3 linked regions of the Lytechinus pictus genome follow. The protein of the gene in region 1 purifies or fractionates together with the protein of each later gene. This does not show direct contact. Links are inferred from orthologs where the notes say so. Each region holds a gene or a part of one and is shown in the gene's direction. Other genes may lie near its edges.

Evidence for each region.
Region 2: the proteins of large ribosomal subunit protein eL13-like (region 1) and nucleolar MIF4G domain-containing protein 1-like purify together in Homo sapiens (co-immunoprecipitation; 3 studies listed by BioGRID and IntAct, with this or other methods). This does not show direct contact. The link is inferred for Lytechinus pictus from reciprocal best matches to the Homo sapiens genes RPL13 and NOM1.
Region 3: the proteins of large ribosomal subunit protein eL13-like (region 1) and large ribosomal subunit protein P1-like purify together in Homo sapiens (affinity purification with mass spectrometry; 3 studies listed by BioGRID and IntAct, with this or other methods). This does not show direct contact. The link is inferred for Lytechinus pictus from reciprocal best matches to the Homo sapiens genes RPL13 and RPLP1.

What each region holds. Positions count from the first base shown.
Region 1 is NC_087246.1:67,041,739-67,048,030, forward strand, and holds the start of large ribosomal subunit protein eL13-like, read left to right. Parts: upstream 1-2,783; 5' UTR 2,784-2,839; intron 2,840-5,842; 5' UTR 5,843-5,850; coding exon 5,851-6,096; intron 6,097-6,292. UniProt on the Homo sapiens protein: Component of the ribosome, a large ribonucleoprotein complex responsible for the synthesis of proteins in the cell.
Region 2 is NC_087257.1:8,961,017-8,967,308, reverse strand, and holds the start of nucleolar MIF4G domain-containing protein 1-like, read left to right. Parts: upstream 1-2,022; 5' UTR 2,023-2,075; intron 2,076-6,292. Other genes in the region: general transcription and DNA repair factor IIH helicase subunit XPB-like, read right to left, coding at 1,900-1,927. UniProt on the Homo sapiens protein: Plays a role in targeting PPP1CA to the nucleolus.
Region 3 is NC_087252.1:20,859,849-20,866,140, forward strand, and holds the start of large ribosomal subunit protein P1-like, read left to right. Parts: upstream 1-2,855; 5' UTR 2,856-2,997; coding exon 2,998-3,078; intron 3,079-6,292. Other genes in the region: out at first protein-like, read right to left, coding at 2,210-2,434. UniProt on the Homo sapiens protein: Plays an important role in the elongation step of protein synthesis.

The sequences.
Region 1 (6,292 bases):
TCGATCCCTGCTTTTGATTTTGACTTGATAGGGGCCTATACCTGATGTAATTTGCTTCAATATAAAATCATAACGGAAAGAACGCCTTGAATACAGGCCAAACAGCCTAACGACATTGCTGTGTCACGTGACAACTAGTATTAAACGAGAATGTACACAACCCTATGGCGACAAGGTTAGCCGCAAAAGTTGAGCAAGTTCTGGACAAAAAGGCTTCAGTACCCCAAGAAAAGACCAGGCGAGTACTATTTATACATTATTTTCCATAAGTAGTATCTAGGGTCTAATTTAAAAATAGATTTCGTCATGGAGCTCCATGGTAATATCTAGTAATTTAAGTCCAACTTCTGATTCGTGTGCACTCACTTTTTTAACACAGGAATTGATAGGCATGGTGCCTAGAGTGGTGATGACACTACGTCATTAAAAAAGAAGTTATGACAGGTTCGGAGGTGTCATAAATATTTAGTGAGCTATTTAGTATTGGACTTGGAGGTAGTTGTACCCGATCTTTCTGTCTGTCTTTCTTTCTTTTCCTTCCTTCATTCCTTTACTCTTATCCCGTTTTTTTTCCGGTGAAATCCACTGGGGATCAAGGGCCAGCCTGCATGCCCCCGGCGGCTTACGCCTCTGCCGTGGATGTAGACCTAAGCTATACGCATGATCTTAATCTTCATTATGATTCAAACTAGAGGCGCATCCAAGATTTTGCAAAGTGGGGGGGGGGGGGGGCTCGGGGTGAATTTTCTCAAGTAAAATTTGACAATTCTAAAAAAAGGTTCTTACCAAAAAAACCCGGTCATTTTGTCTCGCGTAAGTTAAAAAAAAAATGGTCACTCAAAATGAAAATCATTTTGTCCGCGTAATATTCGGCCCCCCACAGAAAAATAAAATAAGAAAAGGGAAAGTCATTTTGTCCACGTGATATTTGGCACCCCCCGCCCCCCCCCCCCCAAAAAAAGGTTTTAACTATAGTACCGGGCTAAAGTAATGATCGAAGGTAATTTTATCTCGTGTAGAATTTGACAAATGAAAAAAAGGTTGTCACTGAAAAATAATAATAATAATAACAAATAGAGGTATATTTTATTACCCAGAGTAACCACTTCAGTTCCGAAAACTGTTCTCCCAGCGGGCCCTGCTATTATTACCCGAGCTTTAGCTGGGCTAAAAATGAAGGTCATTTTGTCCCACGTAAAATTTGGCAAGCCCCCCCCCCCCCCCAAACAAAAAAAAACAAAAAAGGAAAATGGTTTTCAACTAATATTAGTGATCGAAGGTCATTTTGTCTCGCGTAAAATTTGACAATTTTTTTTTTAAGTTGTCACTAAAAAAGAAGGTCACTTTTTCCACCGTTATATTTGGCAAGCCCCTACCCCCATAAAAAGTTTGTCCCTAAAAGTGATGTATAGAAAGTCATATTGTTAATTTGTTCCCAGTAAAATTTGACAAGCAAAAAAAAGGCAAAAAAGAGAAAAGAATATGAACGAGATATCCCCATTACAAATAATGCTGTGATTCTCATAAGGGAGGGGGGGGGGGCACATAACTAGTATTAACAAAATATTTAATTCCAAAATGTTTACTATAAATCTCAAAAGGGGAACGGGCAGAAATGCTCACCCCCAACCCCTCCCCCCCCCCCCGATCTGCCACTGATTCCAATCAATAATGACTTTTCTCTGCAATACTGATGCTTTGAAATCAAGATACTGAAGATTGATACGCTTAACATAAATTATGAACGTCTGACAAAACGATAACCAACCGATCACCTGACCGATCAGCTGACCAGTACGCGTATCACTTCGGAGTTGATCACTCGTCGCAGCTGTGTGGAATGCTCATCGTAACAAAATGGCCGATCGAGACTGGGGTAGAGGAGAGAACTTTTCGTTTTTTTTAGGTTCCAGTCTGTGCCCAGATGTCAGGAAACTGCCACTCGTTAGACCTTCATCCATATAATCGTGGTAATTGTATACTTTCTGTTTTCACAATTCATTTGGAGAAATATTTAGACCATAAATCACCCTAGTCCGGTGACTATGGCCAAATACACGGTAAGCCCGGGCCCCTGGGCTCCCGCCCGCTGTGCGGGCGGGAGCTCCCTGGGGCTGGGTTAGGACTAGGACTAGGAGTGACTAGGAGTGGTAAAGACTAAAGAGGGCTTCACTTCACTCAGCCTTCTTGAAACGGTTAGCGGACAATTTAGTCAAGAAGTTAGACTTATGACGGTGTTGAGAAACGGGCCCCTGAAGGCTAATACAGACAGTATTGGCCGAGCCACTTTCTTTCAATTTCATGGGGGAAAAAAACACACACACAAGAAATGCAGCGTATGGGACCACGTTGTCAATCTCGCAAATCGACATCCCGTAATAATAATACGTTAAATTTAAAAGGATGTCTCGAAAAAGTAGTAGTAGGTCTCTATTCATCTCATCTCATGCCACAAGATTCCCTGCACATCACACACATACCGTAAGTGTTTGTTCAAAATAGGCCAGCTTTGGCAGCTTTTCTTTCCTTCTTAGACTTAGGAAACACGGCTTCATTTACTTCTGTACTTGGTCATGTAGGCTGCCATTTTATCTAAGATGCCAATCGTGTATAGAAATTTAAGTCAAAATCAAATTTATTAAAATCATAAATGATTAATAGAATGTATATTGAGATTTTGAAAATATATTTATTATATAATAAAATTAATATTGAAAAAAATTAAATAAATTGAGATTTTTTTATTTGAAAACAATATGATATAAAAAGGAATCTTTATTGTGCTTTAAATTGCATGTCGTACAAATATCCTTTTCTGTGAGCACTGCTGAAGCGCAGGGTCAGTTGAAATAAACATTCCATTAAAATCGTTAGGAATCTAAATCATTATTGATGGTCAAACTCTAATGTTACTTGATTCGAATAAAGTGATTACTATTTATGTAAAGTAATGATTCTAGTTTTGAACCTGTGTCCATTAAAAGTAGATAAAAGAATGAAACCATGACCGTCAATCACTGGTTAGCGAGAGCGATGCCGATAGTGTAACGCTAGTGCGGTCGCGGGTCGGGTTTGCCTTTTCAATCACGGATGATTCGTCGAATCGATGTCTGGGACTTGGATTCTGCCCTATAACTTTATGAATATGCAGGGGGAATCTGTTGCCCTTGTTCAAAATTATTGGTAGACCCTTGTTTTAAGTTCTAACGAGCCACCATCATGACCATGGCACAATTTGTTTGCAATCCAATGCCAATGCAATGGCATGCAGAGGCCTACCTCGAGCGAAGTTCGTGCAGGCTCCACTCCACTTCTCACTACCGGTACCGCTACAGCCTACACTACGCTTCACCTACCCGAACTTCGAGACCATGAACTCAATCGGATATTCCGAGTGATAAAAGGTGGGATTTTATGGGGACAAAATACAAAATTCATGCAACATCACGATCTTTAAAAACAAGTACAAGTACTACAACTGTCTAATATTCTTACTTTACACAAAGTTTCGCTTCTTTTTGATGCTTCTATAGTATCAGTCTCAAATTTGATGATTTAGAGCCAACATGAAGTTCCTCACACGTATAAATATTAATGCGCTGCCGACTTCAAAAAATCGCATGCGGGAGGTACCGGGTCTGGTCCGAGCTCGGACCCTCGCGCGCATGCGATGTTCTGAAATCGGCAGCGAATTATTACGTGTAAGGAACTTCATGTTGGCTCTAAATCATCAATTTTGAGACTGATAGAAGCATGGAAAAGAAGTGAAACTTTGTGTAAAGTAAGAATATTAGTTGTATACCCAGTTGTTGTGTGTCCGGACAGGTTGTGTGTCCGGACGATCAATTTTAGAAAGTCATTTGGAAAAATTTGAAAGCGAAGTTTCATAAATTTTTAGTACAAAATGTTATGAAATATTATAAAGAACAAAATATAAGATGATTACAAGTATTAAATTCATATTTTTAGTGTAATCCAAAGACAAAAAAGAAGGCTTCAAAAATATAAAGTGTCCGGACACCCGACCCCCCATCCTACTTGTTTTTAAAGATCGTGATGTTGCATGAATTTTGTATTTTCTCCCCATAAAATCCCACCTTTTGTCACTCGGAATATCCGATCGAGTTCATGGTCTCGAAGTTCGGGTAGGTGGAGCGTAGTGTAGCGGTAGTGAAGTGGAGTGGAGCCTGCACGAACTTCGCTCGAGGTAGCAGAGGCCATGAATCATGACAGTGCCAGTGGCTGGCACTGCCACTGGTGACTGCGCACCCAAAATTGAAACAGAGATATTCAAACGTGAATTTTCTTTCTTTTCCACACAATATCCTTATCTAGATAAAAATGTTCTAATGGCGTAGTGCATGTATTGCGGCACTGCCAAGATTTCTTAAGAAATTGAGTCAAAATTTGTTCGCAATTGCATTTCCAACCTTCATTTGAAATATCTTTGTCTTTATCACTCACTCTCAGAATAAAAACACTTGTCACTGTAACCCAGGGAGCTCCGGGCTGGAGCCCAGGACTCGTCTGTGTAATGATATTAGGCAGAGGAGGATACTCTCCAAAAATGTGGTAGAATGGGGTCACAATATCACCCCAAATGAAAGGGGAAAAAAATTATGCACTTGCCTCGATTATTATATGGATGAAGGTCAATTGTGCAACAGAATCCTGACATCCGAGGCACAAAACTAGACCTTAAAAAAAAGGAAAAGTTCTGTCTCGTCCATTCTCCTTTTTTCAAAATTGAAAACAAAATGGCCAATCATCATCGATACAGAGAAGGAACGCGACATAGACATGATAGAGGTCTAACTTCCTTTTTTTGAGTGTCCAGTTTGTGCCTCGATATCAGGATTCTGTGTCACTATAGACCTTCATCCATATAATCGGGTAAGTGCATAATTTATTTTTTCCCCTTTTATTTTGAGTGCTGTTGCGACCCCACCCATTTTGGAGAGTACCCATGTCTGCCTAGTATTACACGGACGACTCCTGGGCTCAAGCCCGCAAAGCTTCGCGGGCCGGGGCTCCCTGGGTTATTGGCATTGGAACCAAGTGTCTGTGCACCCACTCTTTGCAAATGATTGAACTGGGACTTGGAAGGGAGGCTGCATTTTGAGGTCTTGATATGATATATTATCAAAGAATGTTGGTCTAGACCTCTCTAGTGATCTTCTAGTCTACCATGTCTAATGCCAATGGCCACAAAAAGTTATGAATCATGATCTGCAATGTGGAGACAAATAGACCCTATTCATAAAAAAAGAGTAAAAAACCTTGTTCTCATTACAAATCGTATCAATGAGTGGTTCCCCAGATGCCAGAACATGATTATTGAGCTATCACATTGTGAATGTTCTAAATAACAGATTTCATGGGTAGGCCTAAATGCAGTCTCCCCATAAATAATTTAATCCTGTGTTTATATGGACAAAAATGTGGCAACATTGTTTTTGTTTGTATTGTTTTTATATTCCATCCCAAATACCAGCCTGCATTGTTTTACATGCAAAAAATCCTTTCTTTGAAAGTTGCATGATCTTTGATGTTTTTCTGATCATCAGATCTAAATCGACATTTATATTTCTATTTTTTTCATTTATTAGCATCACATTGAAATGGAAATCGTCATACTCATGCACCATATTATGCCGTTAATTTGCAAAGCCAAAGCCTTTCTTGCAAAATCTTTCAATTTTAAAAGAAAAGTTAATCGATTGAAACAAACTTTAAATATGAAATTGCCAAGTTTCATTTCATTACAAATTACTTGTAGTTTACAAATCATTGACATGATTTGAATTGAAATTTTTTATGACCTTTTTTCCCTTGACTACAGATTTCACCATGACTCGCAAGGGAAACAGAGTCCTTCCAAATGTCCATTTCCGTAAGGAATGGCAAAACTATGTCAGGACCTGGTTTGATCAACCAGCCCGCAAGAAGCGGCGACACAACACCCGTGTGCAGAAGGCACGGAAGATTGCCCCCAAACCCATCGCAGGAGCACTAAGACCCCAAGTTACTTGTCAGACGTTCAAGTACCACACCAAGCTGAGGGAGGGACGTGGCTTCACTCTTGAAGAGCTCAAGGTACTGTATGACCATCTTTAAATATGTCTTGGTCAATTCTTCAGGGATTGATAATTTGCTTCACTTGTACAACATGATGTGACTGACTAGACTGAAAATGCAAAAGAAGGCATACAAAAAGATACCAGCTAGGCTTGAGAAAGTAATGTAGGGAATCATCACAACCATCTCTTCACTCTGGTGACATGACATTTGC
Region 2 (6,292 bases), on another chromosome or scaffold:
TGAAATGTTTTAAAGGGCAATCACTTTGTATTACAATCAGAACAAATTGCAAACCCAAATCTGTAACAGATTACCCTTGGAGATTGCATATGTTTCACTACCACTTTACACTTGGTTGTAAAATTATTTCACGTCTTGTAACTGATTTGATACTGCATGCTAGCGTCACAAGAGTGAACGATAAAGATGATTGTATTGTAAACCTTGAAAAATAGACTGATTATTATGTTAATAAACCAGTACTTCAATTTGATACAGTAATTTTATTCTTTTTATTCTGAGTGCCTGACAACATGGTTACTCTTATGTCCCAAGTTTCATGAACTAGATCTATAAACTTTTAAGTTATGATGACAATTCCACAAATAACCCCAACATTATAAAAGTTCGTTGCCCCCTAAATTACCTTTGACCTAGGTCATGTGACCTGAAACTCGCACAGGATTTTCAGGGTTACTTAATTGCTCTTATTTCTAAGTTTCATGAACTAGATCCATAAAATGTCAAAGTTATGATGACAATTCCACAAATACCCCCAACATGGTCAAAGTTTGTTGACCCTAAGTGACCTTTGACCTTGGTCATGTTACCTGAAACTCATGAAGGATCTTCAGTAATACACTATCAACCTTATGTCCAAGTTTCATGAACTAGGTCCATATACTTATAAGTTATGACATTTCAAAAACTTAACCTTGGTTAAGATTTTGATATTGATTTCCCCAACATGGTCGAAGTTCATTGACCCTAAATGACCTTTGTCATGTGACCTGAAACTCAGGCAGGATGTTCAGTAATACTTGATTACCCGTATGTTTTAATGTATGAACTTAACTTTGGTCATATTGGTTAAGAAATTCCATGTTGACGACGCCGCCGTCGTCGGAAAAGCGGCGCCTATCGTCTCGCTCTGCAATGCAGGCGAGACAAAAATGACATCAATCATTCAATGTCGTATAAATGTCGGAAATGAAGTTTTACTTGTAGTTGTATCCCATCATGCCCATTCATGCCCATTTACATGATTTAGGCTTAGGGTGAAGAATAATTAAAGAGCTGTGACTCTGGGAGAAGAGTTCTTTTCCTTTTGTGACAACCTGCTGACCTGTGTTACAAGAAATGAACAAGATGCGACTCCCGGCTCCCCTATCAGTAGAGGCGCACGGCCAATATTGGAGACTGTCTCCAATGTGGGAGATTATCTCCAATATCAGAGACTTTTGTAAAGAATTTGGGTATCCAAATTCAGAGACAGTCTCCAGTTTTGGAGACCAATTTCCTTTGTTTACATTTGCTGCAAAAGGATTACCTTGGCGGCAAATAAAAATGTGATAAGCAGATTCCTCATGAAAAATTGCCCCTTTTTACCATCTACTTTAAAAATTCACCGTCTACTTTTGTTTTGATAAGGATTTTTGTTGTCAATCACACACAAAACAAATGGGCTTCTGACCTCAGTGAGACAAAATTTTGGGTGGAAAAAATCATGCTTTTGTTGGTGTTGTTTCTTTTGTCCTTTTGCAAAGCAAGTCTCCAATGTGGGAGATTGTCTCCCCTATTGGAGAGAGTCTCCCATATTGGCCGTGCGCCTCTACTGCCTATATCAGGCGACTGAGTCAATGTGAAATTCATACACAGCTTCACAAAAACGTGTTTAGCCCATGTAGCATGCAGGCGCAATAATCGCACACGCCTTTATTGCAATGGATTCTGCGCGTTTCTATCCGCATTCCAAGCGTATAACACGGTTCTCTATGTAAGGGACTAGGCCTAAAGTAAAGTCCACTTTCGCACTTCCCGAAAAGTGACGGAAAAGTGCTGATTTTTAAAGCCTACCGACAATTTTCTCATACCTAAGTAATATCATAGTATTCTTGAAAAGTAATGGGACATACGTACCACCGTCTTTACGATCCCGTTTTCCCATTGCATTCAGAAAATTGTTGATATATTTCAGAATGTGGATGTCTAACCGCCCCTAACCGCCTGCGCCTGCCTACGGCCAAAACTGTCGCCAGTATTGCGCAAGAGTCGAGTTGGTACAACTTCAAGCGAGATACCGCGCTGCTGAACCAGTGAGTAATAACAATGAGAAAACTGCATTATCTGGAATTTAGAATATCAGATTTAAAGTACATTTTTAAGTCATAATCAATAATAGTTGTGGCATGCCATATTTTTTGCATAAGATCAAGCAGACATTTGCAAGATAAAGTCGAAAATGAAAACGTGGGCGAATCAGATTGCATGCTGAGCCTGAGCACGCGGTCTGTCCTGCAGCTGCATCGGCGCTTACCACTTGAATCCCCCGGGCCGACCCGCAAGCTAGCTGCCCTGGGCTGGGCCCGTCTCCCATCCCAGCAAGTTCCCACACGCGCACATGTGTGTGTGAGGATATGGATGGATGGCCAATGGCTATGCCTATGTCAACTGGCCTGCACAGGTTGGTTGGTGTTGGAGTTAGGTTGGCGCTCTTCAATCTAGTACTAGTTAGTAGTAGATTATGCGCCAGGTCTTTTCCGAGTTGCTTAATTCCCGCTTCAAAATGAATGTCCTTGGCGTTGGACTAGTCTGAACTGTCATATATCGATATAGCGAGATACAATATAATTATGATTACCTCCAGTCATTGACATTGTGCGATATTGTACGTCATAGTGTAACAGTAAATTTTGCTGGGTTTATTTCTCTAATCTGTACTCTTGCATTTGGCTTTCCATACTTTATTGTTTACATTCAACTTGTTTATTTCCATTCCAACTCATCTCATCCTTCTTTCCATCCTCACAATCCACATACATTGTCATGCCTCATGGGGCCTGTTGCATGACAAGATGAGCGATACGTAGGAACGTCCTAGGACCATTCTTCCGAGATAGGAAGATTGGTGACAAATCAGCGCTTTCCGTTTCACGAAGGCAATTTTGTCTTTCAAGTCCGCGACATCGTTTGATATCGATAGTATCGGAAAAATATTTAGTCTTCATCGTCACCTGAACCTTTTATTTCGGAATGACGACTTTTCATAAAATCATATATTTCAATAAAAGGGGATCAAATAATATTTTATTTATTACTGATTGTAGAATTGATGTACATGGAGCTTAATTTATGAGGTAAAAAGAGAAAAAAATTCAAGATTCACAAACATAACTGGATAAGATCGAAATTATCATTATTTCCCTTATTCAGAACACGGTGTCCTTTTAGAGACACCTTTCATTGATATTTCAACGAAAGAGACCCTTGTCTGACATAAAATTGATTTAACTAAGTAATTTCGACATTTGATTAGTTCAGTATTCTGTATTTTTATAGAATACATATATATAATGATGATTTTGCAAATTATGCGTTAATATGTTATCTGTTGAGGTAAAAATAGGGTTTGAATGGAGTAAACAAAATCAACAGTGTCTGATTGTATGAGACTAAAAAGGAAAATATGAGAGGCTGCCTGTGAAAAATCTAATTTATTTATTTTATTTGTCAGATATAACGCAAGAAATACAAATGTGAGTGTTTAGAGTATAAACATACCTCAGTTGCATGATGAGTAACCGAAGACAAGGAAAATATGAAAATTGCTGCAAACATGTCCAAGTGGATAAAGTAGTGCTTTGCAAAAATAATTAAAACATAGAAAAAGGTGTGCAATCCGAATGGAAAAAAATACTATTTACAGAAATAATGCTAAAAATTACAATGATCATAAAGGTCATCCCCGGGGGGGCCACTTACATTGACGAGTGGATACCATGCGCGACCAAAAAAACACGTAAAAAGGATGTCTTTTTTCAAGATAGGGCACGTTACGTACGTAACGTGATAAGGGTGTCAAAAACACAAAAATATTGATAAAAGGGTATCTATATACGTGTTTAGGGTCAAATATTCGGGGATGATAAAACAAAATAAAAATGTTTGATAAAGGATGTCCTTTTTGCCCCAACACTACGTGTTTAGAGTCCGATTTGCGCGAGATGTGGAAGGTGGGGCCGACTAAACCAAAATAATGGTGTGTATAAAGGTAAAACCGACGACCGACGGACCCGTGACATAACAATAAAATATCGCTGTACTTGTTTAGGGGCTCAATTCTGGAAATAATTGCCAATAGTATTCGGTTTCTAATACTTGTTAAGGTTAGGGTTTCACACGCCAATACTTGTTAAGGGGTGCATTTTCAGAATATGGAAAATACGTGTTTAGGGTGCTTTTCAAAACCCCGTGGTCGCGCATGGTATCCACTCGTCAATGGAAGTGGCCCCTCCGGGAGGTCATCTTTAAAGTCGATCACTGGAAGCTAATATAAGAATATAAGGTGTAAGAATATAAAAAATATATATGTTCAAAGTTGAGGAGTAAAGACTACATTATTGCTTTAACATTATACATGGGGGCCGAAAGGGGCATACCCGACGATTTAAAATGCGCCTCTTTGTATGGATTTTCCATAATCTTTTCTTTAATGAACTTATCTTCATTTGTAATGATTGTGATGGATTTGTAAGATATAGGCCTAATCTATATCTTAAATTCAATTAGCTATTTTGTTACTGCAGATTTTTTGTATTGTTTCACTGTTTCACATCTCAATTAGCCCAAATCCGACAATTAATTTTCATTGATTAAAATTAATTTCAGCCAAAAAATAATAATTATAATGAAAATTAAATAAAAATAAATAAATGATTTACCATGTTTAACATTTAAGTTTGTATCATGTTTTTTTTGCTGAACGTCATATAAATACTTTTTTACCTTACATAATTTCTTTAAAAAAAAATGTTTTCATGTTGTTTAATTATGAGAAAGCATGAGGGATCAGAGAGATAGTGCCACCCATTTCGATATTAAAAAAAAAATTAATGGAAATGGTGTGGGGATAGGACGGAGGGAGAATAAAAGAAAACATATTAAAAAAATATTTGGGCCTACTTTACCCCGGACATAATACCCCGGAGAAGTTAAAGTGACATCTGTTTTTGGTCGTCTTGCCGTGCAAAAAGACGACCTGAAATTGATGACAACTACATGTAGCCCCCATATAAAAAAATAACTTGGTGCCACGGATAAAATGCATCAGTGTGCAACACCAAAAAATGTTTAAAGGTGATATGTCAGTGAGTGTGGCTTGCCGTAAACGCATTTTCTCTCAATGCCGACGGTGGCGGGGCGGTGTGCAAAGAAGATCATGCCTCTGAGGACATGTCTGGAGGTGTCTTTCCAAGGACCATTCTTCGTATCGCCCAAATCGGCTTTGTGAAACAGTTGAGCGATATCTCGTTCTTACGTAGAATGGTTCTACGAAAGACCCTTTCATGCAGCAGGCCCATGATCTCATCTTTCATTCAATCTCCACAATACATCTCACATAGCAACACAGGTTCATTGCATTTCATTCTTTCATTCAGTTTCCCCTCAGTCATGCTTCCTGGTGTTCCATTAGCTTTCCATTCCACATGGTCTTATTGTTTAATTCTCATTAGGATTCAGTTTAACTCATGATCACCCTTCTCTATTCTCTGATTGGTTCTTATTTTTAAATAGGGTTAGTTCATTTTATAGTTCATACAATTTTCCTTGTTTTTGATTGGTTGATTTCTATGATTATCCAATGTGGGTACATTGGCAGAACTTCCCAGAAGATTAGATTGGAAAGTAAAGGGAGTGCTGATCTGGACTTCATCGTGTTAAGTTCTAATTTATTCTGTGTTCACCCTATCTTCAGTCTAATAATTTTAGTTCAATTAAAGTTAGGAGAGCTTTGGAGACTGAAGTGCAAGAGTTTATGATTTTGGAGTGTACAAACGGTCATGTTACAATAGTATGCAAACTTATAAGAAGCTAGGTCGAAGCTCAATTTTAGTAGTCTAAGAATTATTACATCACTGATCATCAGAACAAACATGACAAAAGGAAGAGAGAGATCAGTGGAACATTCTTATCTCTTTGTTTTTTTCACATAATTCAGGATGACTTTATAATCTGCATTTTTTTCCTATTAATGTTGCTAGATCTGATATTGGGTTGTTTAATCACAGGCTTCTTTGTATAGTTTGCACAGCTTCAGGTCTGGTCCCTTTCAAGGTCTTTAAATCCTCTTCAGTCTACTTGGAACGATCTACTTGGCTTTTAATTTCTCATCTGTCAGACTCCTGCAGAGTGGTTGTACATCTTCCCTTTTTCATGCTTTTCTTTTAAATCAGACAGACGGACCAAGTCGAGTGAATTAGATTATACAATGTAAATGAAAAATGACAACACGGGCGAATCAGATTTCAAGCTG
Region 3 (6,292 bases), on another chromosome or scaffold:
TTTTTTCACAGTACCGTACACGCACATGAATGGGACGCAATCCCTGGCTCAGTGGAGAGTAAGCACACGTTAGTTAATGATTTTTTACTCTCTAGAAGCCTCCTGGCTAAGCAACACTGAGTACTCTGGGTGATTTCAAGTACGGTGTTCGGTGTTGGTGTTGAGAGCATGAAAACTGAAAAGACTGCTGAACCGAGCTCGAACACCGAGCTGAGTTCAGAGGAGCGATACCGATCGTGTAGCGATAGCCTATGACATCACGCCTCTGCACTGCACTGCTGATCATCTCAACTTTATGTGAGAAATTCTCCACGACGAAAGTGAAATCGGGAAGAAATTGCAAGAAAATCTTATCGTACAGAATGCAAAGGTTAAAATCACTGCAAGGAATCAGAAAGCATAAATATTACTTTTCATTAAAATGTATAAAACTCTTAATGATTTGCGCTCATCTTAACTAAAACTAAAGTAAAAGATAATTTTACAAGGATGTTTCGTCGTGTTCGCCGCCTGTTCGTGAGCTACATCATACATGTACAGTATACAGTTCATCACATCAACATCAACACCAACTTGAAATCATGATTTTCCTAATTTAACACCAGCTGTAAAATTACACTGTAACGCTCGGTTCAGCAGACGACATTCAACACCAGCGCTCAACAAGAACTGCCGGAAATGCGTCATATTTTCCGAGGTCAATCCCAACACCAGCGTGATTTCAAGTACGGTGTTGTTGTGTTGTCACAATTTGTGACTTAACCAACACAATTTCAACACCGTAATTGAAATCACCCACTCACTGGAGTGTCAGTGATCAGTGACTGAGCGAGATCATTTTATTGAGCTCAAGGGAGGTTGATATTGATCCACCATTTAATTTAAAGGAGAATGAAACTCTTGGAGCAAGTTAGCTTTTGTGAAAGCAGAAAAATCAAAGAATAAGATCAACAAAACTTTGAGTAAAATAGGACTAGCAATAAAAGAGTTATGAGCATTTGAATGTCGAGATCACTAATGCTATGGAGATCCTCCCATTGGCAATGCGACCAAGATCTGTGATGTCACACACGTACAACTCTCCCATTCGGACACTGAAAATATACCCCAAAACATCTCTTTTTGCTCATTCTTATCATATGACAAACGATTCATCAATTAATGATATAATGTTGTGAAACCTCTGTACTTGTCATCTCATAAAGAAAACACCTAACCTTGTGATAGACTCTATAAAAGTGAGAATATAAGTGAAATAAGTACTAAAGTAATGACGGAGTTGTACGTGTGTGATATCACAGATCTTGGTCGCATTGCCGATGGGAGGATCTACATGGCACTAGTGATCTCAATATTCAAATGCTCATAACTTTCTTATTATTCATTCAATCTTCCTCAAACTTTCAACAATATGTTTCTTTGATTTTTCTCTTTGATATGGATTCAGCTAGTTTCAAGGGTTTCATTCTCCTTTAAATCATTTTTATTTATTCATCATCATCATCATCTGATACGGGAGTGAGATAATGCCTTCCTGTAAATCTCCCGGTCGTCAACGATCACGACTTCTAACAGTAGAGGCGCACGGCCAATATGGGAGACTCTCTCCAATAGGGGAGACAATCTCCCACATTGGAGACAATCTCCCACATTGGACTCTTTGGAGACTTGTCTTGCAAAAGGACAAAAGAAACAACACCAACAAAAGCATGATTTTTTTTCCACCCAAAATTTTGTCTCACTGGACTGAGGTCAGAAGCCCATTTGACTTGTTTTGTGTGTGATTGACAACTTAAATCCTTGACAAAACAAAAGTAGACGGTGAATTTTTAATTAAAGTAGACGGTGAAAAGGGGTAATTTTTCATGAGGAATATCTGCTTATCACATTTTTATTTTCCGCCAAGGTAATCCTTTTGCAGCAAATGTAAACAAAGAAAATTGGTCTCCAAAACTGGAGACTGTCTCTGAAATTGGATACCCAAATTCTTTACAAAAGTCTCTGATATTGGAGACAGTCTCCAGTCCAAGTCCAATTAAAATATTGGCCGTGCGCCTCTACTTACTCTAAGTTCTACTCTTTAATACGTGGTTTGTGAGACTGGATCAACTGTGTTACAGTGTATATACAACGGTTTAATGCCTATGATGACTCTAAACTTAAAATCTACCCAATCCATCCAGCAAGCATTTTTTTTTGCTTCACTTACCGATTTGAAATCAATGACCATTTTCACAAGTGTGCCATCAAGCTTTTGAAACTGCAAATAAATCACATCGCGTTTGACATCAGCGTTTATACTCTCTTGAACAAGGTCACCACCGTCGTTTTTCACGTTGATTACCAGTTGACACATAACTCTGTGATTCAACATACAAAATAAAGCAATTAGTCCCCAAAGGAACCCCATTAAATTGAAATAATATCGCAACATTTTAGAGTGTTCGTTTCTCCTTCCACAGCCCAAATACAGCCATAATTCACATTAGCAGAGCGCGCGCGCGCGCTATGGGAAAACAGTGTAAAGCCGTATCCTGGTATCAGCCTACCTTTATCGCGCCGGACTTCTAGGGGATCAGACGATTGTAGTTCCGTTAGCCACGAAACTTGGGGCCATTAACATTACGCACGGATGACAGGAATAATCCACTTTTGTAAAAGTTAAATGTGCTGAAATAATTCTTATACATATATCAAAATAACATCTCTCGATATCAGATTCGATTAGTAAAATAAAGGATTTTTATAATATATTTGATCTGAAGATACTGTTTAAAAAAACAATTACAATCGACTTTTAAATGTTTTTTTAAATAAAAAATAAAAAGATCCCACCCAAAATTAATGAACTTGTCCTTTCCACAGACCTCTTGCAACACGGATAGAAACAAGGTGCACAGTTCTCTATCGAGCTAAGGCCAAAATCGGCGACGTGTACCATTTTTCTTTGCCATCAAGTACTGATTTCCCAAGAAATCAAGCCACTAAATATCAAAGATGTCTTCTGAGGACAATACTTCTGAGCTTGCCTGCGTTTACAGCGCTCTTATCCTCCAAGATGATGAGGTCCCAATCACGGTAATACTTCCCCCATAGTGTGTGCCCATGTATAAAGTTTTGTGTAATGTCCGCGAAGCTAAAAGTTTAAAACCTTCAGCATGGCTTATATAAGTTAATTGCAGATTACACCCCATAAAGTTGAATGGGTAGACACTTTCTATTTGGCAAGTATGCCTTGTTCGAAAAGTGGTGGGTGGGGTGTATCCTTAATATACGTATTCTGCACTTGTCATGGACATGGCTAGGCTCCATGCGTGTTGCCAATCAATGGCAATGCCATGGCCATGCCCATGTTACTACAACTTATTATAAAATAGCTGTATTATTTCAAGCATCGCGATTGGTCAATACGCGTCACATGACATCCAACTTTTTTTGTGCACTGCACGGTAGTGCAAAAGGTGTGCAACGAAAATTGACATTGCACGCTCGAGCAAACCAGTGCGGTAAAGTCCAACAAAACTGTACTGTAAGTTTTTTAAAAATTGTTTCTGTGTTGCTATTTCATAAAACAAATAATGCACTTGCTCTGTCTTGCATAAAACTTAAAAGTAAATGCAGAGAAAGCTCGGTTTCTTCAGATGGAGCACACTGGGCACTCGCCGCAAGCGGCTCGTGCACAGTGCGACTCCTATCTAAAGAAACCTCGCGTGCTCTGCATTTCCACTAACGCACTCGGCTGCATGCATTATTTGTATACTATTTACATCGTTGGCTGTTAAACGTTATTCGTTAATGTTGCTGATGAAGAACGCATAAAAGATTATTCTTAATCTTAGTCTCAGATGGTCCAGTATGGCAGTAAAAACTGTAGGCCTACTAAAAAAGTAAAAGTTGGACTCAATGTCTCAATCCAATTTTGATATGTTTGAACTTTGTTGAATGAGTCTGTTTTCTGTGGTGTGCAGGTGTGAATATGGAATGCCTGAAAGTTTGTGTGATGATGTACAATAATTCAACAGTTGGGGTAGAGAAACTAGCCCGAATTTTAAATGTCAATTTGTCTAACTTATTTCACAGGCCATGCAGCACAGACCCAGTCCAAAAAAAAAGAAGAAAAAAAGAAAGATTAACAGAAAAGAAATAATGAGAAGGAAAAAAAAGGATGAAGGGAAAGAAGCTTTTTCATTTCATCCTCTCAATTCAAAGAAGGCTCCAAATTAAAGCAGTGGCAAAAAGAGTCAATTTTTTTACTGGTGTCCAACACCACAAGACAGAAGGAGAATCACCACAGGAGCCTCAGGAGGAAAGTCCAGATTTCAACTCCAAAACCAAAATCCCCTTTGAAAAGTTGGCAAATGTTGCCCTACAAATACAGAATCTGTGCCGCATTTCCAGGGCAAGCAGCAGCTTAGCTCAGTCAGATATAAGAAGCGGGGTCGCCAAGAAATGCACTGAAAATGATGAAATCTGTGGTTCCAAATTTTTAATGTTCCCACAAATTTAGAATATCTTGTATCTTCTAAATGATATAAGAAAAAAATATGAACCCCAGAAAAGCTCAACCGCATTGAATCTGCACCGAAATCAAATCTACGGCATGCTAGTGGGTTGCCTTCATAGTTCCACAGGGGTTCTGCATGTAATGTGGGCTGAATGGCCACTGCAACTTCTGGGGGTTGCATACCGTATCGCGTGCGGCTCTTGCACACACTGTCAAAGTGGGGTACTGGCGAATCACAGCCGCAAAACATGGAGATACATTGTCAGTAGAGGCGCACGGCCAATATTGGAGACTATACTATCTCCAATGTGGGAGATTATCTCCAATATCAGAGACTTTTGTAAAGAATTTTGGTATCCAATTTTAGAGACAGTCTCCAGTTTTGGAGTCCAATTTCCTTTGTTTACATTTGCTGCAAAACAATTACCTTGGCGGCAAATAAAAATGTGATAAGCAGATTTCTCATTAAAAATTACCCCTTTTCACTGTCTACTTTAAAAATTCACAGTCTACTTTTGTTTTGATAAGGATTTTTGTTGTCAATCACACACAGAACAAATGGGCTTCTGACCTCAGTGAGACAAAATTTTGGGTGGAAAAAATCATGTTTTTGTTGGTGTTTCTTTTGTCCTTTTGCAAAGCAAGTCTCCAATGTGGGAGATTGTCTCCCCTATTGGAGAGAGTCTCCCATATTGGCCTTGTGCCTCTACTGATTGTATCAGGGAATTCTCTGTTTCCATTGTTAGATTTGTATGAAATATTGAGGTGGAAGTTGAAAATAAAATTGCTTTGAAAGTAGACAAATATATTCAACAAACATTGATACAAAATTTCATTTTGTGAAAAGACATGTAAGATAAAAAAAAAATGTTGCAGAAAATCTAAACATGCCAGTCGAAATTTGGGCAACAAATGAGTCTAAGAAACCGGCTCATGGGGGGGGGGGGGGGGGCATCATATGGCATGATAACAGTTGTAGATCAAAGGAGAGTTGAGTATAAAATTAAAAGAGGGAGGAAAGTGGAGAATCTGCAGTGTGAGCTAATTTCCAAGGCAGAAAGGATAAGAAAGAACTTTTAGGGGGATAAAAACAAGATGCTATGAGAGAAAGTAGAATTTATAGTGTTAATCGATCCAAGGTGAAATCTTGGTGGTTTTTGGCCAAAGATGGTTCCAAATGGTTTCAGAGTGATAATTGTTTACCTTGGATAGATCTACAAATTATACACGAATCATTTGTACACTACAATAAAACACTGTAAAGTGAGTGGATGAACTATGCTGAAAGTCAAAATGTCCTAACTTTGCTTTCATAAAATCTAATGAATTATACATGCATATCATATGAAAGAGAATAGTGTAGCCTTCGTTTTCCACCTCAGTAACAGTTATACATGAATGATAGTGATAGTCATTGACATTTAGTGAGATAGTGCATATTTTCATACCTTTCTGTGATCATTGAAGCGTAACTAACAATGCTTCAATAATCACAACTTATTATTTATTTTTTCTGAGAGTCGAGAGGATATGCTTTAATTTCATATAAAGTTTGGATCCTTTGCTATTTTTACAGGAAATGAAATATGAAAATGAATCTAATAACATCTTGGTACAAAAGTCAATGAGGTGACACCAGTCAGATATTCATTCGTTTTTAAATCGTTTGCGAAATGCGTGATGATTGAAATATTAGGAACTGTATATCAACTGAAATGTTGCTCGCTACATGTATGTTTGAAAAATTTGCAAATGATTTTCGACCAATGCACAGACCCCCCCCCCCCC